Saccharomyces cerevisiae S288C: one gene and its partner. The protein of the gene in region 1 interacts with the protein of each later gene in a pairwise test. Each region holds a gene or a part of one and is shown on either strand. Other genes may lie near its edges. The genes, in order: YMR051C and VIK1.

Region 1 (12,507 bases):
TAAGCCCCGCTACCCGCATAACAGGAAATAGAAGCTATAATGATCTGAGAATGATATTTAGGGGAGGTAATGAACTAGACCCTGGAAGAAGCACCTATTAATAAATATGTATGGTTATGGCGGATACTATTGCCACAGGAGACAAAACTAGCCAGTTTGATGGAAAACATATGCAGGATTTAGAAAGAATTTACTCCACTAGGGATACACTCGATGATAATTTCTTTGGAGAACGTGGACAAAAAGATGCAAACGGTGATTATTACGATGAATTAAACAATGAGGAAACCAATTACAGTGGAAGTAGTTACTATGGTCACTCAGATGATTCGGAAGTGGTTGGGTTGATAAAGAATGATACTGTGAGCCAGCTCCCGCCTCTCGACAGTTTTATATTCCCAGATTCTAGGGCTTTGTTCTTGTTAGATTTAGGCAACTATGCTGATTTAACTTATGAAGAAATTATCGTACACGGGTTTGAAATATATATTGTGGAGCAATGGGTAGCATGTAGGAATTTGTCAACATTGATTACGTCATATACAGGAAACTCTCAGGATACAATATCGGGAGTCAGAGTCGTTTTGCCAAAGGATACGAGTATGTGGCCAGGGAGATTTAGACTGTATTTTGAAGAATTAATGGAATTTGCGCGGCCAAAATTTACACCAAAGGGCACTCTATTTATTACCAATCTTTCGGGTGTGTCCTTTGGCTTGAATCTGTTGCATGTGGAATGTGGTGACTTGAGAACAATTTGGAAGGATTTCGAGGTTAATTTTGATCTGAAAAACCTGCATTGTGGTGGAAGATCGGCAAATCTGTTATGCCCTCCAACTATGGCATCACTTGATAAGTTTTCACAACTGTTCAAAATCCCTACAAATGGTTTTATTGCACAGTATCCCCAAATGATTCAGCAGCAGCAACCGCGTTTGCCTGAGGAAGAATACAAGACGGTTGGAAATTCAAAGTGTCGAAATACCGATAGTAAATCACCAGTCGTGGAGATGGTAACTTTAATTCAAATTTCGTTGAGTTATTTCAATTTGTTATCTAAGAACTACCAGACGGATGGTCTTTTGTGTGAAGACACCAAGCGAGCTATAGATGAATGGTGGGAAACTTACGGGAAACTGTACCTTGGTACAGAAAAGCCAAGGAATGAATGCACACTGGGTCCGACGACAGTAGCTGGCCTAATTAGTTTGATCCTTTGTTGCTATTTCAAGTTGATGATAGAAAATTGCATTTCCTCTAAGGATCCCTTTGATGAAGCTGGTTTCTTCCAAGGTATTTATAATTTCCAAAAAAAGCATGGCCTCAATAAAAGAAAATCTAGAGTTTATTTAGACCCAAGAACGTTAGAGAAACTCTTTGAAGTGACAGCGAAAGTTTCTAGCAAAGACATTTTTAAACTGAAGAAAATGGTGACATCAACGGTACAGGACATCATAGGAAAGGGAAATCCCATCAACCTGTCACACAAAATTCTTACAACAGATCTAGATACACTTATTCATAATATTCATGGAGGCTCTGTAGGACTACTATGGAAAGGTAAGGGACACCCAAGGAAATGCTGTACGGATATTTCTAATGAAGAATTTTTGAAATTTAACTACCAGAGAGGCGATCCTGATGGGCAGATAAGAGAAAGGGAAATGCTACTAGAAAAATTTCGTTTGGAAAGAATCGCATACGCTCAAAAGCACGCCTCCAAAAAGGTTAGTTCTTCCAGTCTTGATACATCTGAAGACATAGGGAGGACCAATGCTATGCCCTCATCTGCAACAGTGTCATCAATGTTTCCAAACTACGATAATACCAAATATGCATATAATTTTGGCATCAACAAATTATATCAAGGAGAATACTACCGAAGAAATTCGTTTCCCTATTGTAAAGATCGCACACACGACAACATTTATGAAGATCTTTCAGAGCTGAAGGAAAAGTCATCTCGTTTGTATAGATGCAACTCTTCTTCTGCTGTACAGAATATTGTGGAAAAATGGGATTTACCATTTGATCCATCTGTTGTTCGAATAGCTAGAGATTTGTTACGAATGAAATACGACATCCAAGCGCAGCAACACATACAAGAAATGGATGAGCATTATATGGGTAAATTAAATAAGGAGGGAACTGTTGGTCAGTACTCTAAATTCAACGAAAGATATAAAAGACTGCAAGAACTATATAAGAAGTATTCAGATGGTGCAAAAGTGTTTGAAGGGAGATTTGAAGACATTGACAATAAGCAACAACTTCTTCTCCATGAGATGCAAGAGTTAAATTCCTTATCATCTAGGTTGAAATATGATATGAGGATATTGGAAGTTCGTGTACGAGATATTGAAAGTAGTGTTGCTCAGTTTGATTCCAAATTAATTGGGTTGAAAAGCTCTCTTCAGGGACAGGGTAAAACTGGAATATGCTCTGCAATAGATCCCAAGAGTGATAAAGACGAATATGATAGATGCGTAAATGATTTGATGACCACTAACAACCCCACCTATGAAGCTCTTTGTTTAAAGATGCTGAGCCGCCGTTATTTTAAAGATTTAAAGAATGATACTGTGGGGTGGTTCAGGTGGTTATTTGGTAATAATTCTTTACACAATAATGCCAGTGAAGACGATAGAGGAATACGAGTATGATTTTTTTCGGTTCATCCTAATTTTTTTTTTTTTTCAAAAGGGATCTAAACATTTATCCGTTGTTATAAGTATATTAAAATATATAAATGCATTCAAAGGTTTGCTATTTCACGTCTGCTTACACTTTTGTTCGATCCATCGTAGGCTATTTCAGTACCTGGTACGTGTCTTGCAGGTATTCCAACTGTTTTTTAAAGCGGCTGTAATCTCTGGAATCTTTAGATATACGATCCCAATCCACTTCCTTCAAAAGTTTTTCAAACTGTTTGATAATTGAATGCAATTTTTTTTTTGTTTCTTCATTTTCTGTCTTCAATGACTCGTAATTTTGTTGAAGACTTTTGTTCCTTTCATCAAGCTTCTCTGATGAAAATGTGGCAATATTTCGTTCTCTTATTGCATTCTGTTCGTCGATAAAATTTTTAATATATGAGAAATGCTCATTTATGTTGTTAATTAGCGCAACAGCCTTTGTATTGAAGTACTCTTGTTTTTCAATCTCGTATATGAGTTTAAAATTTTCGCTGATAAGCTTCTGTGCCTCAGTGGGGGGAGATGCTTTTTGAGATGCATTATCTTTCCATGAATCTGGAATTATGTTTTTGCTCAAATTATCATAAGATATTCCTGACTGTTTGGCAAGGCGCTTTAACAATAGTTCTATTCGATCGGTCTCTTGTCTGTTAGCCCGACACTCTGCACTTAAAGCTTTTGTTAATTGAAGAAGATAATCGAAACTATCACTACCACCGCTATTCATATTTGCAAATCACTATATATACTGCTCTGTGCGAACTTATGATGGAAAAAACGAGCAAGAAGTAATAAATCACGGTTTAACTTTCTTCATTAATCGCCGAATGCTAGCCGGAGCTTTGAATGAACCTTTTATTGTGGTTATATTGTTATACAGGTGTCAATATAAACAATAAAAGTTGAAGCGGTGGCTCAATGGTAGAGCTTTCGACTCCAATTAAATCTTGGAAATTCCACGGAATAAGATTGCAATCGAAGGGTTGCAGGTTCAATTCCTGTCCGTTTCAATTTATTTTTTAGCCCTGTGCTTGAGATTATCGTCGACAATGACCAGCTATAAGCTGGCAAGATTGATGCTCTAAAACGCGGGGAATAAAATAATCAAGATGATTAATTGTTGGGATTCCATTGTTGTTAGAGCCTACAATATTAGGTACACAGAATATACTAGAACTTCTTCTCGAGGATGTAGGAATCGTCAAAAGGGAATCGATAGTTTTACGTAACGATATTACTTTATGTTCTTTCTGTTGGAATGAAGCTATAAAATATCATCTGTTCAGTAGTATTCATGCCACTCGTACATTATCATATACAGTGTAAGAAGATGATCTAAACATTGAGAAACAGTCGTAAAATTTAATGGAAGCAGAAATATAAGGATTGATAATGTACTAGGATAATGAAACATACGAAAGGGAGGGAGAAATAATTGTAATTGTATTATATAGGAGTATCGATTCCAATTTGAGGATTGGTATATCTCTCAGGGGAAATTTTATTATATTCTGTACACATAATAAAATAAAGCCCTTGCGAACAATAGAATCCCAACGGTTATCAAATTATTCACAAATTGATCACTTCCTTTTTATACTTTCCCTCTCGCTTCTTATTACATTATCAATCATTGCATTTCAGCTTCCCCTAAATCTGGTGACTGTTTCTCAATCTTTAGATCACCTTCTGTTGGAATAAAAATCCACTATCGTCTATCAACTAATAGTTATATTATCAATATATTATCATATACGGTGTTAAGATGATGACATAAGTTATGAGAAGCTGTCATCGATGTTAGAGGAAGCTGAAACGCAAGGATTGATAATGTAATAGGATCAATGAATATAAACATATAAAACGGAATGAGGAATAATCGTAATATTAGTATGTAGAAATATAGATTCCATTTTGAGGATTCCTATATCCTCGAGGAGAACTTCTAGTATATTCTGTATACCTAATATTATAGCCTTTATCAACAATGGAATCCCAACAATTATCTAATTACCCACATATATCTCATGGTAGCGCCTGTGCTTCGGTTACTTCTAAGGAAGTCCACACAAATCAAGATCCGTTAGACGTTTCAGCTTCCAAAATTCAAGAATATGATAAGGCTTCCACTAAGGCTAACTCTCAACAGACAACAACACCTGCTTCATCAGCTGTTCCAGAGAACCCCCATCATGCCTCTCCTCAACCTGCTTCAGTACCACCTCCACAGAATGGGCCGTACCCACAGCAGTGCATGATGACCCAAAACCAAGCCAATCCATCTGGTTGGTCATTTTACGGACACCCATCTATGATTCCGTATACACCTTATCAAATGTCGCCTATGTACTTTCCACCTGGGCCACAATCACAGTTTCCGCAGTATCCATCATCAGTTGGAACGCCTCTGAGCACTCCATCACCTGAGTCAGGTAATACATTTACTGATTCATCCTCAGCGGACTCTGATATGACATCCACTAAAAAATATGTCAGACCACCACCAATGTTAACCTCACCTAATGATTTTCCAAATTGGGTTAAAACATACATCAAATTTTTACAAAACTCGAATCTCGGTGGTATTATTCCGACAGTAAACGGAAAACCCGTACGTCAGATCACTGATGATGAACTCACCTTCTTGTATAACACTTTTCAAATATTTGCTCCCTCTCAATTCCTACCTACCTGGGTCAAAGACATCCTATCCGTTGATTATACGGATATCATGAAAATTCTTTCCAAAAGTATTGAAAAAATGCAATCTGATACCCAAGAGGCAAACGACATTGTGACCCTGGCAAATTTGCAATATAATGGCAGTACACCTGCAGATGCATTTGAAACAAAAGTCACAAACATTATCGACAGACTGAACAATAATGGCATTCATATCAATAACAAGGTCGCATGCCAATTAATTATGAGAGGTCTATCTGGCGAATATAAATTTTTACGCTACACACGTCATCGACATCTAAATATGACAGTCGCTGAACTGTTCTTAGATATCCATGCTATTTATGAAGAACAACAGGGATCGAGAAACAGCAAACCTAATTACAGGAGAAATCCGAGTGATGAGAAGAATGATTCTCGCAGCTATACGAATACAACCAAACCCAAAGTTATAGCTCGGAATCCTCAAAAAACAAATAATTCGAAATCGAAAACAGCCAGGGCTCACAATGTATCCACATCTAATAACTCTCCCAGCACGGACAACGATTCCATCAGTAAATCAACTACTGAACCGATTCAATTGAACAATAAGCACGACCTTCATCTTAGGCCAGAAACTTACTGAATCTACAGTAAATCATACTAATCATTCTGATGATGAACTCCCTGGACACCTCCTTCTCGATTCAGGAGCATCACGAACCCTTATAAGATCTGCTCATCACATACACTCAGCATCATCTAATCCTGACATAAACGTAGTTGATGCTCAAAAAAGAAATATACCAATTAACGCTATTGGTGACCTACAATTTCACTTCCAGGACAACACCAAAACATCAATAAAGGTATTGCACACTCCTAACATAGCCTATGACTTACTCAGTTTGAATGAATTGGCTGCAGTAGATATCACAGCATGCTTTACCAAAAACGTCTTAGAACGGTCTGACGGCACTGTACTTGCACCTATCGTAAAATATGGAGACTTTTACTGGGTATCTAAAAAGTACTTGCTTCCATCAAATATCTCCGTACCCACCATCAATAATGTCCATACAAGTGAAAGTACACGCAAATATCCTTATCCTTTCATTCATCGAATGCTTGCGCATGCCAATGCACAGACAATTCGATACTCACTTAAAAATAACACCATCACGTATTTTAACGAATCAGATGTCGACTGGTCTAGTGCTATTGACTATCAATGTCCTGATTGTTTAATCGGCAAAAGCACCAAACACAGACATATCAAAGGTTCACGACTAAAATACCAAAATTCATACGAACCCTTTCAATACCTACATACTGACATATTTGGTCCAGTTCACAACCTACCAAAAAGTGCACCATCCTATTTCATCTCATTTACTGATGAGACAACAAAATTCCGTTGGGTTTATCCATTACACGACCGTCGCGAGGACTCTATCCTCGATGTTTTTACTACGATACTAGCTTTTATTAAGAACCAGTTTCAGGCCAGTGTCTTGGTTATACAAATGGACCGTGGTTCTGAGTATACTAACAGAACTCTCCATAAATTCCTTGAAAAAAATGGTATAACTCCATGCTATACAACCACAGCGGATTCCCGAGCACATGGAGTCGCTGAACGGCTCAACCGTACCTTATTAGATGACTGCCGTACTCAACTGCAATGTAGTGGTTTACCGAACCATTTATGGTTCTCTGCAATCGAATTTTCTACTATTGTGAGAAATTCACTAGCTTCACCTAAAAGCAAAAAATCTGCAAGACAACATGCTGGCTTGGCAGGACTTGATATCAGTACTTTGTTACCTTTCGGTCAACCTGTTATCGTCAATGATCACAACCCTAACTCCAAAATACATCCTCGTGGCATCCCAGGCTACGCTCTACATCCGTCTCGAAACTCTTATGGATATATCATCTATCTTCCATCCTTAAAGAAGACAGTAGATACAACTAACTATGTTATTCTTCAGGGCAAGGAATCCAGATTAGATCAATTCAATTACGACGCACTCACTTTCGATGAAGACTTAAACCGTTTAACTGCTTCATATCAATCGTTCATTGCGTCAAATGAGATCCAACAATCCGATGATCTTAACATAGAATCTGACCATGACTTCCAATCTGACATCGAACTACATCCTGAGCAACCGAGAAATGTCCTTTCAAAAGCTGTGAGTCCAACCGATTCCACACCTCCGTCAACTCATACTGAAGATTCGAAACGTGTTTCTAAAACCAATATTCGCGCACCCAGAGAAGTTGACCCCAACATATCTGAATCTAATATTCTTCCATCAAAGAAGAGATCTAGCACCCCCCAAATTTCCAATATCGAGAGTACCGGTTCGGGTGGTATGCATAAATTAAATGTTCCTTTACTTGCTCCCATGTCCCAATCTAACACACATGAGTCGTCGCACGCCAGTAAATCTAAAGATTTCAGACACTCAGACTCGTACAGTGAAAATGAGACTAATCATACAAACGTACCAATATCCAGTACGGGTGGTACCAACAACAAAACTGTTCCGCAGATAAGTGACCAAGAGACTGAGAAAAGGATTATACACCGTTCACCTTCAATCGATGCTTCTCCACCGGAAAATAATTCATCGCACAATATTGTTCCTATCAAAACGCCAACTACTGTTTCTGAACAGAATACCGAGGAATCTATCATCGCTGATCTCCCACTCCCTGATCTACCTCCAGAATCTCCTACCGAATTCCCTGACCCATTTAAAGAACTCCCACCGATCAATTCTCGTCAAACTAATTCCAGTTTGGGTGGTATTGGTGACTCTAATGCCTATACTACTATCAACAGTAAGAAAAGATCATTAGAAGATAATGAAACTGAAATTAAGGTATCACGAGACACATGGAATACTAAGAATATGCGTAGTTTAGAACCTCCGAGATCGAAGAAACGAATTCACCTGATTGCAGCTGTAAAAGCAGTAAAATCAATCAAACCAATACGGACAACCTTACGATACGATGAGGCAATCACCTATAATAAAGATATTAAAGAAAAAGAAAAATATATCCAGGCATACCACAAAGAAGTCAATCAACTGTTGAAGATGAAAACTTGGGACACTGACAGATATTATGACAGAAAAGAAATAGACCCCAAAAGAGTAATAAATTCAATGTTTATCTTTAACAGGAAACGTGACGGTACTCATAAAGCTAGATTTGTTGCAAGAGGTGATATTCAACATCCTGACACTTACGACCCAGGCATGCAATCCAATACCGTACATCACTATGCATTAATGACATCCCTGTCACTTGCATTAGACAATAACTACTATATTACACAATTAGACATATCTTCGGCATATTTGTATGCAGACATCAAAGAAGAACTATACATAAGACCTCCACCACATTTAGGAATGAATGATAAGTTAATACGTTTGAAGAAATCACTTTATGGATTGAAACAAAGTGGAGCGAACTGGTACGAAACTATCAAATCATACCTGATAAAACAGTGTGGTATGGAAGAAGTTCGTGGATGGTCATGCGTATTTAAGAATAGTCAAGTAACAATTTGCTTATTCGTTGATGATATGATATTGTTCAGCAAAGACTTAAATGCAAATAAGAAAATCATAACAACACTCAAGAAACAATACGATACAAAGATAATAAATCTGGGTGAAAGTGATAACGAAATTCAGTACGACATACTTGGCTTAGAAATCAAATATCAAAGAGGTAAATACATGAAATTAGGTATGGAAAACTCATTAACTGAAAAAATACCCAAACTAAACGTACCTTTGAACCCAAAAGGAAGGAAACTTAGCGCTCCAGGTCAACCAGGTCTATATATAGACCAGCAAGAACTAGAGCTAGAAGAAGATGATTACAAAATGAAGGTACATGAAATGCAAAAGCTGATAGGTCTAGCATCATATGTTGGATATAAATTTAGATTTGACCTATTATACTACATCAACACACTTGCACAACATATACTATTTCCGTCCAAGCAAGTGTTAGATATGACATATGAATTGATACAGTTCATATGGAATACGAGAGATAAGCAATTAATATGGCACAAAAGCAAACCTGTTAAGCCAACAAATAAATTAGTTGTTATAAGCGATGCATCGTATGGTAACCAACCGTATTATAAATCACAAATTGGCAACATATATTTACTTAATGGAAAAGTAATTGGAGGAAAGTCCACCAAGGCTTCATTAACATGTACTTCAACTACGGAAGCAGAAATACACGCGATAAGTGAATCTGTCCCATTATTAAATAACCTCAGTCACCTTGTGCAAGAACTTAACAAGAAACCAATTACTAAAGGATTACTAACCGACAGTAAATCTACAATCAGTATAATTATATCCAATAATGAAGAGAAATTTAGAAACAGATTTTTTGGTACTAAAGCAATGAGACTAAGAGATGAAGTATCAGGAAATCATCTGCACGTATGCTATATCGAAACCAAAAAGAATATTGCAGACGTAATGACCAAACCTCTTCCGATAAAAACATTCAAACTATTAACAAACAAATGGATTCATTAGATCTATTACATTATGGGTGGTATGTTGGAATAAAAATCCACTATCGTCTATCAACTAATAGTTATATTATCAATATATTATCATATACGGTGTTAAGATGATGACATAAGTTATGAGAAGCTGTCATCGATGTTAGAGGAAGCTGAAACGCAAGGATTGATAATGTAATAGGATCAATGAATATAAACATATAAAACGGAATGAGGAATAATCGTAATATTAGTATGTAGAAATATAGATTCCATTTTGAGGATTCCTATATCCTCGAGGAGAACTTCTAGTATATTCTGTATACCTAATATTATAGCCTTTATCAACAATGGAATCCCAACAATTATCTAATTACCCACATATATCTCACCTTCTTACACTGTATATGATAATATATTAATATTAAACCAGTCAATAAATGTAATTGATTATTTCAACACGAAAACCTAACTATCAACGATATCACATAGAACAGCGAAGAGTTAGAAGATTTATTAGAAGATTTATTAGTATAGGTTATTTTAGATGCAATTTTTCAATAAAACCTGGTTTCGTGGTCTAGTCGGTTATGGCATCTGCTTAACACGCAGAACGTCCCCAGTTCGATCCTGGGCGAAATCATTTTTTTAGCACTTTAGCAGCATATTGCGGTATCGAATCATCTTCATGAATGGCGCAGATTTATTTGAACTGTTCAATCATAAATTAACCTTATGTGAATAGTCTGGGTAGGTTGAAACTTCGGAAATCACTTGCTTTTCTGAGGGCTGCGCGTAATCTAGATAGATCTACCTAAATGACACCGATGGCAACTTCAAGCTATACTAACTCCTAGACATTACTTTCTTCAGTATTCCCTTAGTGCCTGTTTTGAGCTATGAGATTGGTATTATTATTTGAAATATCTTCTATTGCGGTATCTGATTTTATATTTCTAGCTTTGTCATAAAATATAAAATACACAAATATATATATAGAGATAAGATAGATTATTTTTGATGACTTGCAAGTTGCACTAGGATTTGTTTTTCTTCTAAAAACCCCTTAAAGGTATTTCCAGAGAAAATATTATGCTGGTTATTCGATACTATTATCCAGTATACACTGACCTATGTTATAAGCAAAGGTTCTTCGTTCTGCCTCTTTAACAGGTGGAGTGCGTGCCATTATCATCAATGAAAGTTTAACATGTAATTGTCATCAGCTGTATACTGTTCGAATCTGTTCATTACGAAGGTTTAACTTCAAAAATCGAAAAGAAAAAAAATAGAAGATAAGAATATTGCATAGATCCTTCTTTTTTAGTGAAGTCACCGAATAATACATATAATGAAGTTAAAATTACAAACCGTGCAAAAACACCGCTGATTTAGAGTGGGCGATTTCATAGATCAAAAAGCAGGCTAAATATGAATTGAAAATTAAGTAGTCTACTATTTTCTGACAGCAGTGGCGCGCGACGGTTTCCAGGAAGTTTATTATTCAACGTGTCCAATTTTCACACGCTGCTTGACATCGTTATTCCCTGAACGCATTTTTACACTGTATGCGCAATTTGAGCCACTTTGATGGACTATTATGTATGAATAGCTTAGCTTAAAGAAGTAACAGTAGAGTGTTGAACCTTTAAGTGCTTGATGTACTCGAGCCTTTTTCTATGATACCTCACTCCAGAAAAAAGCGTTTAACATATCTGGCATTGAGGGTGGTCTCAAACAATAAAAGTATCCTATTTAATATTTTAACATTGCTGATAACCTAAAAAATCTGAACGTTGCCAGCATAAAACCTCAGCTTTATATCGTACTGAATAACATACTTACTGCAGGGCGAAATTTTTCTCAAATTGTGCCTAAATCGTTAAGTTACTAAACTTTTACGCGCAGTACTGGCATTGAGCGATCAATATTGTTTAATGCGTAGTGACGATCTTCTCCACTTATATTTTTTTATTCGTAGTTCTCTATTTTCGTTTCGATTTGTTTTCTCTGTCTACCAGATTAAAAGTGATTTGAAGTTTTTTATCATGAACTAAACAATAAAATTACAAAAAAAAAAAGTCAGCGTCACCAAGGATTGCTACCAATATACGACTTTACTGCTGTATTATCGAATTTTACCTTCTAGGATATTATGTAAAGTCTCTAGCAAAGGGAGAAAACTAATGTTACTAGGACTGAAGAACATTTTCCTCTTATAGTGTAAAATTGATTTTGACAAGAATATAATTAATACATTTTTTTTCTTTTGATAGCAGTATTGAGTACAATGAATTGAGCATTCAAGGTTCAACATGTGATAGTAGCTCTACCGCTAGTATGTTATTGCTAATTAAGTAGGATTGAATTGTCGCGATTTTGTCATTTTGGGTTTTAATAACTCTTGTACGGGTTACCCCATTTGTTTTTGAAGATTAGTGAAAAATTATTGAAAATTTTTTTTTTTTTGGTTTTGCGATGAGCTTATAATTTACATATGTGATATATTCGCATATAGATCCTAGCGAAGAAAGGTACTGTATTAAATCTGTTCTAACATAACTAGGTCAATGATGGCTAAGAACA
Region 2 (9,633 bases), on another chromosome or scaffold:
CTCCATTCGGACAAAGAACTAAATGACAAGCAACAAAGTTTAGGCCATGAAGCACCCACAAATGTATCAAGAGAAGAACCTATTGGGATCTCTGGTGATGAAGACACCCAAATCACTGAACAAAACGTTAATGAACAAAGGCAAGAAACGAGAGAACCTAGTTCTGAAATTGATTTAAATGAGCCATTGGATGTTGAAAAAGATGTGACAACGGATGTGCAAGCCCCAAATGGGCTGAATATTGAAAAAGAATATGATGCAGTCAAAGAGAATGAGAAGGTTTACGCTGATACGAAAGAGGTTGTTAGTAGTCCAGAAAATAGGGAAGTAACTGGAAAAAATTCTGGAGGTGAGAAATCATCCTCGAGTAAATTTCTCGATGACGAATCTGGTACTACGACAGCTGCAAATGCGAACGACATTTCTATAAGTAGTGAAGTAACCCCAGAAAGGTCGTCAGAAAATGATAATAACCAGATTCATATTACCAATGAGGTAGCCGCAGGAATAAACTTGAATGAAAACAAGGAACAAAAAGCTGCTATAGAAGATGGGCCCGTAACAGCAGAGAATCTTTCCTCAGAAACTGCTAGGAAAGTACCACCTATACCCACACAAATCATAAATGAAAAAGGTGATAACTCAAGCGAGAACGAGGTTTCCGCAATTCCCACTACATCTTCGCCACCATTACCACCTAGACAAAATGTTGCGACATCAACGTCACCAAAATTACCTCCAAGGGGCAAACAAAGGGAACAACCACCGAAGACGAAGAATGCTGTTCCACCGCCACTAGAGGAAGAAATGAAGTCAGAGAAGTTCCGTAAAAACTTCGAAGAAACTAAAAGAAATAGTTATCATCATGTTCCTCTCACTGGTTCCAAAACTGCGCAATTAGAGTCCACTGCAGAAATTAATTTGATCGCTAGTCGTTACCGCAAGACCAGTCACCATTTGAATAAAGAGGGGGAAGAAACTAGAGAGTCGTTGCAGGAAGGTCAAAGCTTTTTAAAATCGACATTTACGTCATTTCTGGAGAACTTGTCCGAGTATAACGAAGTGGAGAATGTTAATGAAGAAGATAGAGAAATGTTTAAAATTGATTGGTCCTTCTGGACTCAAGTAGTTAATGATTATGCTACAGTGGCAAGCAACGAACCAGAAAATTTAGAAGCCCATGTTACCAATGGGATACCACCACAAATTCGAGGTATCATTTGGCAGCTGATGGCGAATTCCAAATCAAGAGAAATGGAAGATATATATGAAACTCTATTGGATACCGAATGTCTTCATGAAGCAACAATACGTAGAGATTTAAGGAGAACGAAGTTTGTGGCCGAGGACAAAATGGAGTCACTATACAAGGTAATAAAGGTGTATTCTGTTTATGATCCAGATGTTGGGTACACGCAAGGCATGGGGTTCATTGCAGCGCCGCTATTAATAAACTGTGAAAACGAGGCCGAATCTTTTGGACTACTCGTTGGATTAATGAAGAATTATGGATTAAGAGAGCTTTTCTTACCAGGAATGCCTGGGCTGATGTTAATGCTTTATCAATTTGATAGATTATTAGAGGAGCATTCACCTTCTTTGTACAATCGCTTGATCCGTGAGGGAATTAGCTCCACAATGTACGCTACACAATGGTTTTTGACATTTTTCGCATACAAGTTTCCGTTAGAGTTTGTGTTAAGAATTTTTGATATTGTATTCGTAGAGGGTATTGAAGTGCTTTTGAAGTTTGCTGTAAATTTAATGTTAAAGAATGAAGAAACTTTAGTAAAATTGAGATTCGATGAACTATTGGATTTTTTAAAGGACGAACTCTTCAATTACTATTTAATGGGAAACCAGGATGACGCTTCTGTAGTGCAAATGGGATTGTCAAATGGGAACTCATTTAAGGGCAATGATGACGGCACTTTTTCCTACAATGTCGATCTTTTCGTTCATGATGCAATGACAGGTGTATATATCACACCATTAACATTAAGAAGATACAGGGGAGAGTACGTAGAAATCCATGAAAAAGAGCAAAAAAAAGAGGACCACTACGAATCACTAAGAATTCAAAACCACCAACTACAAAGAGAGGCGCAGAAGCTAGAACACGACTATTCAATTTTGAACAAAGAGAATATCAGCGCCGCTAACGAGCTGATTCAGAACAGATTGAATATGGAGATGCTGTTGGATGAAAAAAACGACCTGATAAATACAATCACTGATATCAAAAGCCAAATTGAGGAAGAGATTCGCAAGCAAAATTTACCGAACCCGGACGCGTCACTACCAAAGGCAGATCTGAGAGAAGACTTGGAAAGGACCATATCCAGGAACAATGAGGTGATGAGGGAGAACGGCCAATTAGAGGAAAGAATCACTGAACTGCAAGCGGAAATCGATGAGTTGATTAACATCAATAAGGAGCAAGTGTCCACGGCATCGTTATTGGAACGAGATTCTAAGGCTAAAGGGAGGAAAGGCTGGACTGGTTTTAAAAAAGTTTTTAAATAGATGTATAGTTTTGCGCTGTGTGCACATTGTGTGCCTCTCCAATTTGTGTTAAAAAATGCATCACGACTCGTTTAGACAATGTTGTTGTTGTTGTTTTTTTTTTGACTGTATTTTCACCCGTACATCCACGGATGTGTTGGGTTTTTGTTTCCGCTTTACCGTGCGGGAGACGACCATGACCGAGAGGTCTGGTTGCGAAAGACGCACATACCGCGTGCGCGGAACTTTTTCATTGGGTTGCCAACCAAGGCTGTTCAGGGAAGCCCGACGAGGGAAGCTAGCATGAATGCACTAGGAGAGAGAGAGAGAGAGAGGCAGAGGAAGAGGCACATCATTGCATTTCTTGAATATTCGTTTTAATTAGCGTTAAGTCTTAAGTTCGTGTATTACCATAGTCAAAACAGAATAGAGAAGCAAGGATAATACAAAATGGCTGTCAAGACTGGTATGTTTACCTGAACTAATGAACTGTAGAGCAAAAGCAAAATGAACTGAACCACTAAGCCAACAACAGAAATACAAACAGGATGAGATTAAGCTCCAGAGATATGCAAACATCGTTTATATCCTGCACCCAGCGTTGCAGTACTCCGTGGAGTCTTTGTTTATTTATTTTGCTCGTATACTACGTGAGTACTAGTGTGCTTGTTACTAACATAAGATATTCTATTTTTTTCCTCTAGGTATCGCTATTGGTTTGAACAAGGGTAAGAAAGTCACCCAAATGACTCCAGCCCCAAAGATCTCCTACAAGAAGGGTGCTGCCTCCAACAGAACCAAGTTCGTCAGATCTTTGGTTAGAGAAATCGCCGGTTTGTCCCCATATGAAAGAAGATTGATCGATTTGATCAGAAACTCCGGTGAAAAGAGAGCCAGAAAGGTCGCCAAGAAGAGATTGGGTTCTTTCACCAGAGCCAAGGCTAAGGTCGAAGAAATGAACAACATCATTGCTGCCTCTCGTCGTCATTAAACAGCGTGAGGGGGCCACAGTCAAGCAAATCCAACTCCGCCACAAGACCGAGTGCTATTTTCCATGGCTCTCCCCCAAAGCTAGTTAATAAAAAATAAGTAACAAATCATTATAGTAATTCTTAATCGATATCTATTTAAGAAGTGTAACAGCACATGCAATGAACCGACTTCGTCATTCATTACCTCTGCTTTTCCCTTTTTCAACAGTCACGTGCGCATCTCCCTTCCGGGTAAGCACCGCACATGCCAAAGACCCTATCCTGGCTCGCCCACTCACTCATCTCCATTAGAGACTCAACCACATTTGTGGGTGTGTTACAGAAGTTACACCATACCCACTGTCCTGGTCCGCAACAGTTGCAAAATCAATGATGCCTGCTACCGTCATGCTATCATGACAAACGATGGCACCTTTGCCAAGCAAAAAACTGTAAACAAAACCAAACCAAGAAGTCCCTTGGGGTTGTGAGCCATATTCTCCATCTGCGTTGTTTCATAACCAGCCCAAAGGGTTGCACGTTCTCTTCCGTCGATCTGGAACCAAGCTGTGGCGCTGCGTGGAACCGTCCGGAAATCTACAGAAGCCGTTAGAAGAAAACAGAATAAACACACGTGACCCCGTCAGTGTGGAAAGCCGCGGGATCACCACCGTTATTCGTTTTTTTTAGCACGCGCGCGAAGATGACACATTGCACACCACATGTTTATGACCATTGTTATTACTCATTTCACTGTTATTTTGCATCCACATCCACACCCGGGTGGTTTTGCAATTCGGTAATTACTCCACGGTGCATAAAGAAGCGGCTCTGCGTAAAAAGGTATATATAAGAACAGGACTCATCTTGATTTCGGAAAGGGTCTGGAGCAACTCTCTTTCTTTCTTACTTGTTTTATTCTTGAGAAAACCAAACTAAATTGGCTACACCAAACCAACCAAACTTACACACAATAATATACAATTACAATTATTTACAATGTCCTCTGTGGAATCTTCCCCCATCTCGCGCTATGAAGACGAGGTCTTCCCTCTTTCGTTTTCAAACGTTGCTTTCGAGCCCCCTATGCTCTCGCATAGCCCGGACAGATCGACTTATGCCGATGACTTTTCTCAATCTTACCAGCAAGAATTGCTAACTTTTCCGCTATCGTACCCGATTGTCGATGAGTCAGAATGCACGCACACTAAAGATAAGACGGACAGCAACATAATAACGAGTACTGAAGACGATTGCATGTTCGATATGGAATTTAACGGCAACGCCGCCAGTGCAGTTGCTGCTGCTAGTAAGGAATCTAACTCTGCCTCTGGGTTTGCCTTTGCAAGTAACGATGCCTTTGCCAATGTCGCACAACAGAACTACAGACTGTGGTTGTCATCGGTATGACGCATTTTACCACATCTCTACTTGTTCTCACGACCCCTTGCATCGCATATCCTACACATTTTAAATCGGCATTCCTTCCAAGCATATTCTTAATTCCTAATTTTACATAGTTTTTTTTTTTTTTTAGAGAAAATAACAACAATATACATAGAACTTACTTACTCAATTCTACTATATCTTTTTTTTTTGTTACTATTAGTCATGTTTGCATGACTCCATTACATTTTCGTTTTTTTGCTAGCCAATTCTGGTCGTCGGAAAAACTTTTCATTGAATCTTTCAAAGCGTGTAGCAGTTGCATTTTTTTAAAAATGAATATGTATGCAAAATATATATATGTATATATATGCCTAATATACATAATAATAGAAAAAAAAAACCTCATACGAAATAGGCGCTTCTCGTATCTATACTCAACCCGCCCCCAATGCTGAAAATTGTTACTCGGGCTGGACACACAGCTAGAATATCGAACATCGCAGCACATCTTTTACGCACCTCTCCATCTCTGCTCACACGCACCACCACAACCACAAGATTTCTGCCCTTCTCTACGTCTTCGTTCTTAAACCATGGCCATTTGAAAAAACCGAAACCAGGCGAAGAACTGAAGATAACTTTTATTCTGAAGGATGGCTCCCAGAAGACGTACGAAGTCTGTGAGGGCGAAACCATCCTGGACATCGCTCAAGGTCACAACCTGGACATGGAGGGCGCATGCGGCGGTTCTTGTGCCTGCTCCACCTGTCACGTCATCGTTGATCCAGACTACTACGATGCCCTGCCGGAACCTGAAGATGATGAAAACGATATGCTCGATCTTGCTTACGGGCTAACAGAGACAAGCAGGCTTGGGTGCCAGATTAAGATGTCAAAAGATATCGATGGGATTAGAGTCGCTCTGCCCCAGATGACAAGAAACGTTAATAACAACGATTTTAGTTAATGTCTGCATTTTTACCCCTCATTTGTGCCCCCAATTTCTCCTGTGAATAATCTATATATATATATTTATAATTATAATTATAAGGAAACAAGTCAACTTTATAATATACTCTTAAACAATCGTTTCGCGATATCCTCTGTCATGCCTCCACTGCCAGGTCTTTATTGTTTAGTCTCAATAATCGCAATTAAGTTAATAATATTTGCAATTGCGGCAAAGAAAAAATAGGTAAACAAAGAACTGAAAAAACAAAAAAAACAAAAAAACAATGAATATAGAATATGAAATGCCCTAACAACACACACATACACACACATTCTCCTCGCAAAAGCACCATTTCCTGACCAGTGTACTTTATGGCGTCACAGCAAAACAAACACGCTTTTCTTTCAAAGAATAGAATCTTTCACAATCCCGATAATGTGTCCTCATCAAAATCTCGAAACCTTATGGATATCACAAACACGACAAACACCATGAATGGCTCTAGACCTTCGTCTATGAAGAGTTCATTGGCTCTTCCACCCGTAAAGGATTCCTTCCCATCTGTATCTCGATCTGCATCATTAAACATCAACATGAGCAAAATTAAGGACTTAAAAGACCGCCAAGACAAAATAAGGTTCCAAAGACATACTCTCAGGACTCAATTGATTGAGTGCGAAAGAGAAATCAAAACCATCAAGTTTCGAGATCTCAATAAGTCCAGGTTTGAACTTTATAAGAAAAAATCCAAACAAGCAAAGTATCTCAAACAGGTTAGAGATTTGACGCAAAATCTGAACTCCAAGGACGGTGAACGCGCTGATTTAATTAAGAAGAACAAATCCGCTTTGGCAACCTTGCAGGCTGAACTCGACCAGAATCTGATCTTGAAAAGGCAGGAATCTCAAGAATTGTACAATAATAAGCTTATCTTTTGGGAAAATGAGCTGCAAATAATGGAAAATGTCGAGCCTGACCACGAAATCACAGAGGAAATATCTCAGTTGAAGAAAACGCTGCAAGAGCTCAACATAAATTGGGCGAATTTACAGAAGCAAAACTTGGAAAGACAAGTAAACCACGAATCACAATTGAGGAAGGATTTTATTGCATTCAAAGAAGCTAAGTTAAAATCCATGGAAAATTTGACAAACAAACATCGTGAATTACTTGATCAGATAGCCACTCTACAATCGGAAAGTGAGAAGTTACACAAGGAGATCATGGATATAGATAGACAAGCTGAATATTCGGAACAAAACATCTCAGAAATAAATGAAAATATAAAACAATTGGAATTGGCAAACAACCCACTAATAAGCAAATCCTTACAAAACTCGCAAGATTTGGAACATTTACAAAACCAAATGGAAAATTTGAAAGAAATGGCCTCTAAACAGGAAAAATTTTATAATGATACCTATAACACTGTGGAAAAAGAACTCCTGCGGAGTAGGAGACTTGAAAACTCTATTATTGAACAAAAAGGCACGATGCGCTGTTACGCTTACGTGATGGAGCAAAATTTGCCTGAGAACCTTTTATTTGATTACGAAAATGGCGTAATAACCCAAGGTCTAAGCGAACATGTTTACAAATTTAATAGGGTGATACCGCATTTAAAAGTTTCTGAAGATAAATTTTTCACTCAAGAGTATAGCGTTTACCATGATATGTGCCTGAACCAAAAAAAAAATTTCAACTTAATATCTCTAAGCACCACTCCACATGGCTCATTGAGAGAGTCTCTAATAAAATTTTTGGCCGAAAAGGATACAATATATCAAAAACAATATGTGATCACCTTACAGTTTGTATTTTTATCAGATGACGAATTTTCTCAGGACATGCTCTTGGATTATTCCCACAATGATAAAGATAGCATAAAGTTGAAATTTGAAAAACACTCAATTTCTTTGGATTCCAAACTTGTCATCATAGAAAATGGACTCGAAGATTTGCCCTTAAATTTTAGTTGTGATGAACACCCAAATTTACCTCATTCTGGGATGGGTATAATCAAGGTGCAGTTTTTTCCTCGAGATTCAAAAAGCGATGGCAACAATGACCCCGTACCGGTGGACTTTTATTTTATCGAGTTAAATAATCTGAAGTCCATTGAACAGTTTGATAAAAGCATCTTTAAGAAGGAATCATGCGAGACCCCTATTGCACTTGTTCTGAAAAAACTAATTTCTGATACTAAATCCTTTTTCTTGCTAAACTTGAACGATTCAAAAAATGTCAATAAATTATTAACGATTTCAGAAGAAGTTCAAACACAACTTTGTAAAAGAAAGAAAAAGCTCACTTAAGCTCGGTCACATTATCGTCTTTCTTAACACAGCCATTTAGATATGAAACAAATAAGGTTTATAATCTTTCAATATAATTACAACATACCGCATACACACACTTTTTATACATCAATCTTCCGTTAAGATTCCTTTAATTAACCAATTTAATTCATGCCTTGTACCAACGTTTCTTTCATCCAAAGGCGTGAAAGTCGGCTTTTCATTTAAGAAGTCCGGCAAGTCGTCAATATTGCTCTTCATATCTACTAGTTCATCATCGTTAACTAGCCCTAAATTAGTTAACGCATAGTATGAACCTGAAGGTTCAACCAAATTCGGAAATATAGATAACGAATCATATATGTCTTCATTCGTTAATGATATCGTTCTGTTTTCATGTAACTCCTCATTAACTGCTTCGCCAGCCTTTGTAATGCTGCTCATTGATATGTCGCCAATATCGTCCTTGCTACTGTTATTGCCGTTATTAATACTTTTGGCTTCATCGGCACATTCATCCTCATTTTTATCATCATCTAACTGCTTAATTTTGGCATCGCGTTTATCAGCAGCCATTTCTGATACGGATTTATAAAGCCCACTCTCATTCAAATCATAATAATCTGAATATTTCTTCCTTCTATAACGAACTGTATCAATAGTAAACTCTATTATATTTTTTAGATATTGATCTAGGGCCAATGATATAAGCTCTACGCAACGTGCGTCCACTGTGCCGACTAACCCATGTTCTCTTGCTATACCAACCATTCTTAAGTAAAACGAATCCGTGTCTGGTAAAGAATGGCTTTCGCTCGCTAAAGGAACGTTGAATCCATTCATTATATCTTGTGACCATTCCAGCGGCGTTTTTAAATTATTGCTCTTGACACGCTTCAAACTTTCTGGATTGGTTACAATGGGAATTTTGGGTATATTATTTAATCTGGCTTGAAATACAGAGCAAAAAATGAAGCCTCTTTTGCCGGCCTCTTTCGTGATCATTTTAAGTCTATTTCGATCATTTAGAGGTAACGACATGACAATTTTTTTATAGACTTCAATTTGAGAGTTATGCTTATTGATTCTTTTTAGTTTATTGTTTGGATTGTTGCTTCCATTGCCAAATCCCCAAGAACTCTCATTACCGTTTCTCCCAAGAGGGTTTTCACGTAATGAATTAGCAAAAATCCCTAATAAAAGTTGGTTATGAAGTCGTACTAAACTATGGTGATGATTTGTATTTGATTTTTCTAAGCTTGCAGCGCTTGGTGAAAATACCAGCTCTAATTCATTAGAAAGTTCCTTTCTGGATAACTTCCCTAAAATGAAAAGACTGATGATCTGAGCATATTTCGTCCAGCTTTCTTTTCCCAATAGTGAGGTTAATTCTTCGATCATGGCACCCAAATCAATTCTCTGATTTGGTCCCTGAGGCTCCGCAGTTTCATTGTTACCATTGTTAGGCTCGGTATGATTACTGACGGCAGGACTACCAATTAGGCCCGGCTTCATATAT

The links.
Region 2: the proteins of YMR051C (region 1) and VIK1 interact in a two-hybrid assay, tested with the Saccharomyces cerevisiae proteins (one large-scale study listed by BioGRID).

What each region holds. Positions count from the first base shown.
Region 1 is NC_001145.3:370,502-383,008, reverse strand, and holds YMR051C (gag protein), read left to right. Parts: upstream 1-4,683; coding exon 4,684-6,006; downstream 6,007-12,507. Other genes in the region: STB2 (Stb2p), read left to right, coding at 111-2,663; FAR3 (Far3p), read right to left, coding at 2,809-3,423; ribosome biogenesis protein ERB1, read left to right, coding at 12,492-12,507.
Region 2 is NC_001148.4:69,562-79,194, reverse strand, and holds VIK1 (Vik1p), read left to right. Parts: upstream 1-6,188; coding exon 6,189-8,132; downstream 8,133-9,633. Other genes in the region: GTPase-activating protein GYP5, read left to right, coding at 1-2,526; 60S ribosomal protein eL36 RPL36B, read left to right, coding at 2,956-2,971, 3,210-3,496; ATG41 (Atg41p), read left to right, coding at 4,476-4,886; YAH1 (adrenodoxin), read left to right, coding at 5,314-5,832; HFI1 (Hfi1p), read right to left, coding at 8,244-9,633. UniProt on the Saccharomyces cerevisiae protein: Together with the minus end-directed microtubule motor KAR3, plays a role in microtubule organization. Recruits KAR3 to microtubules, and together they may stabilize the polymers. The KAR3-VIK1 heterodimer cross-links anti-parallel microtubules.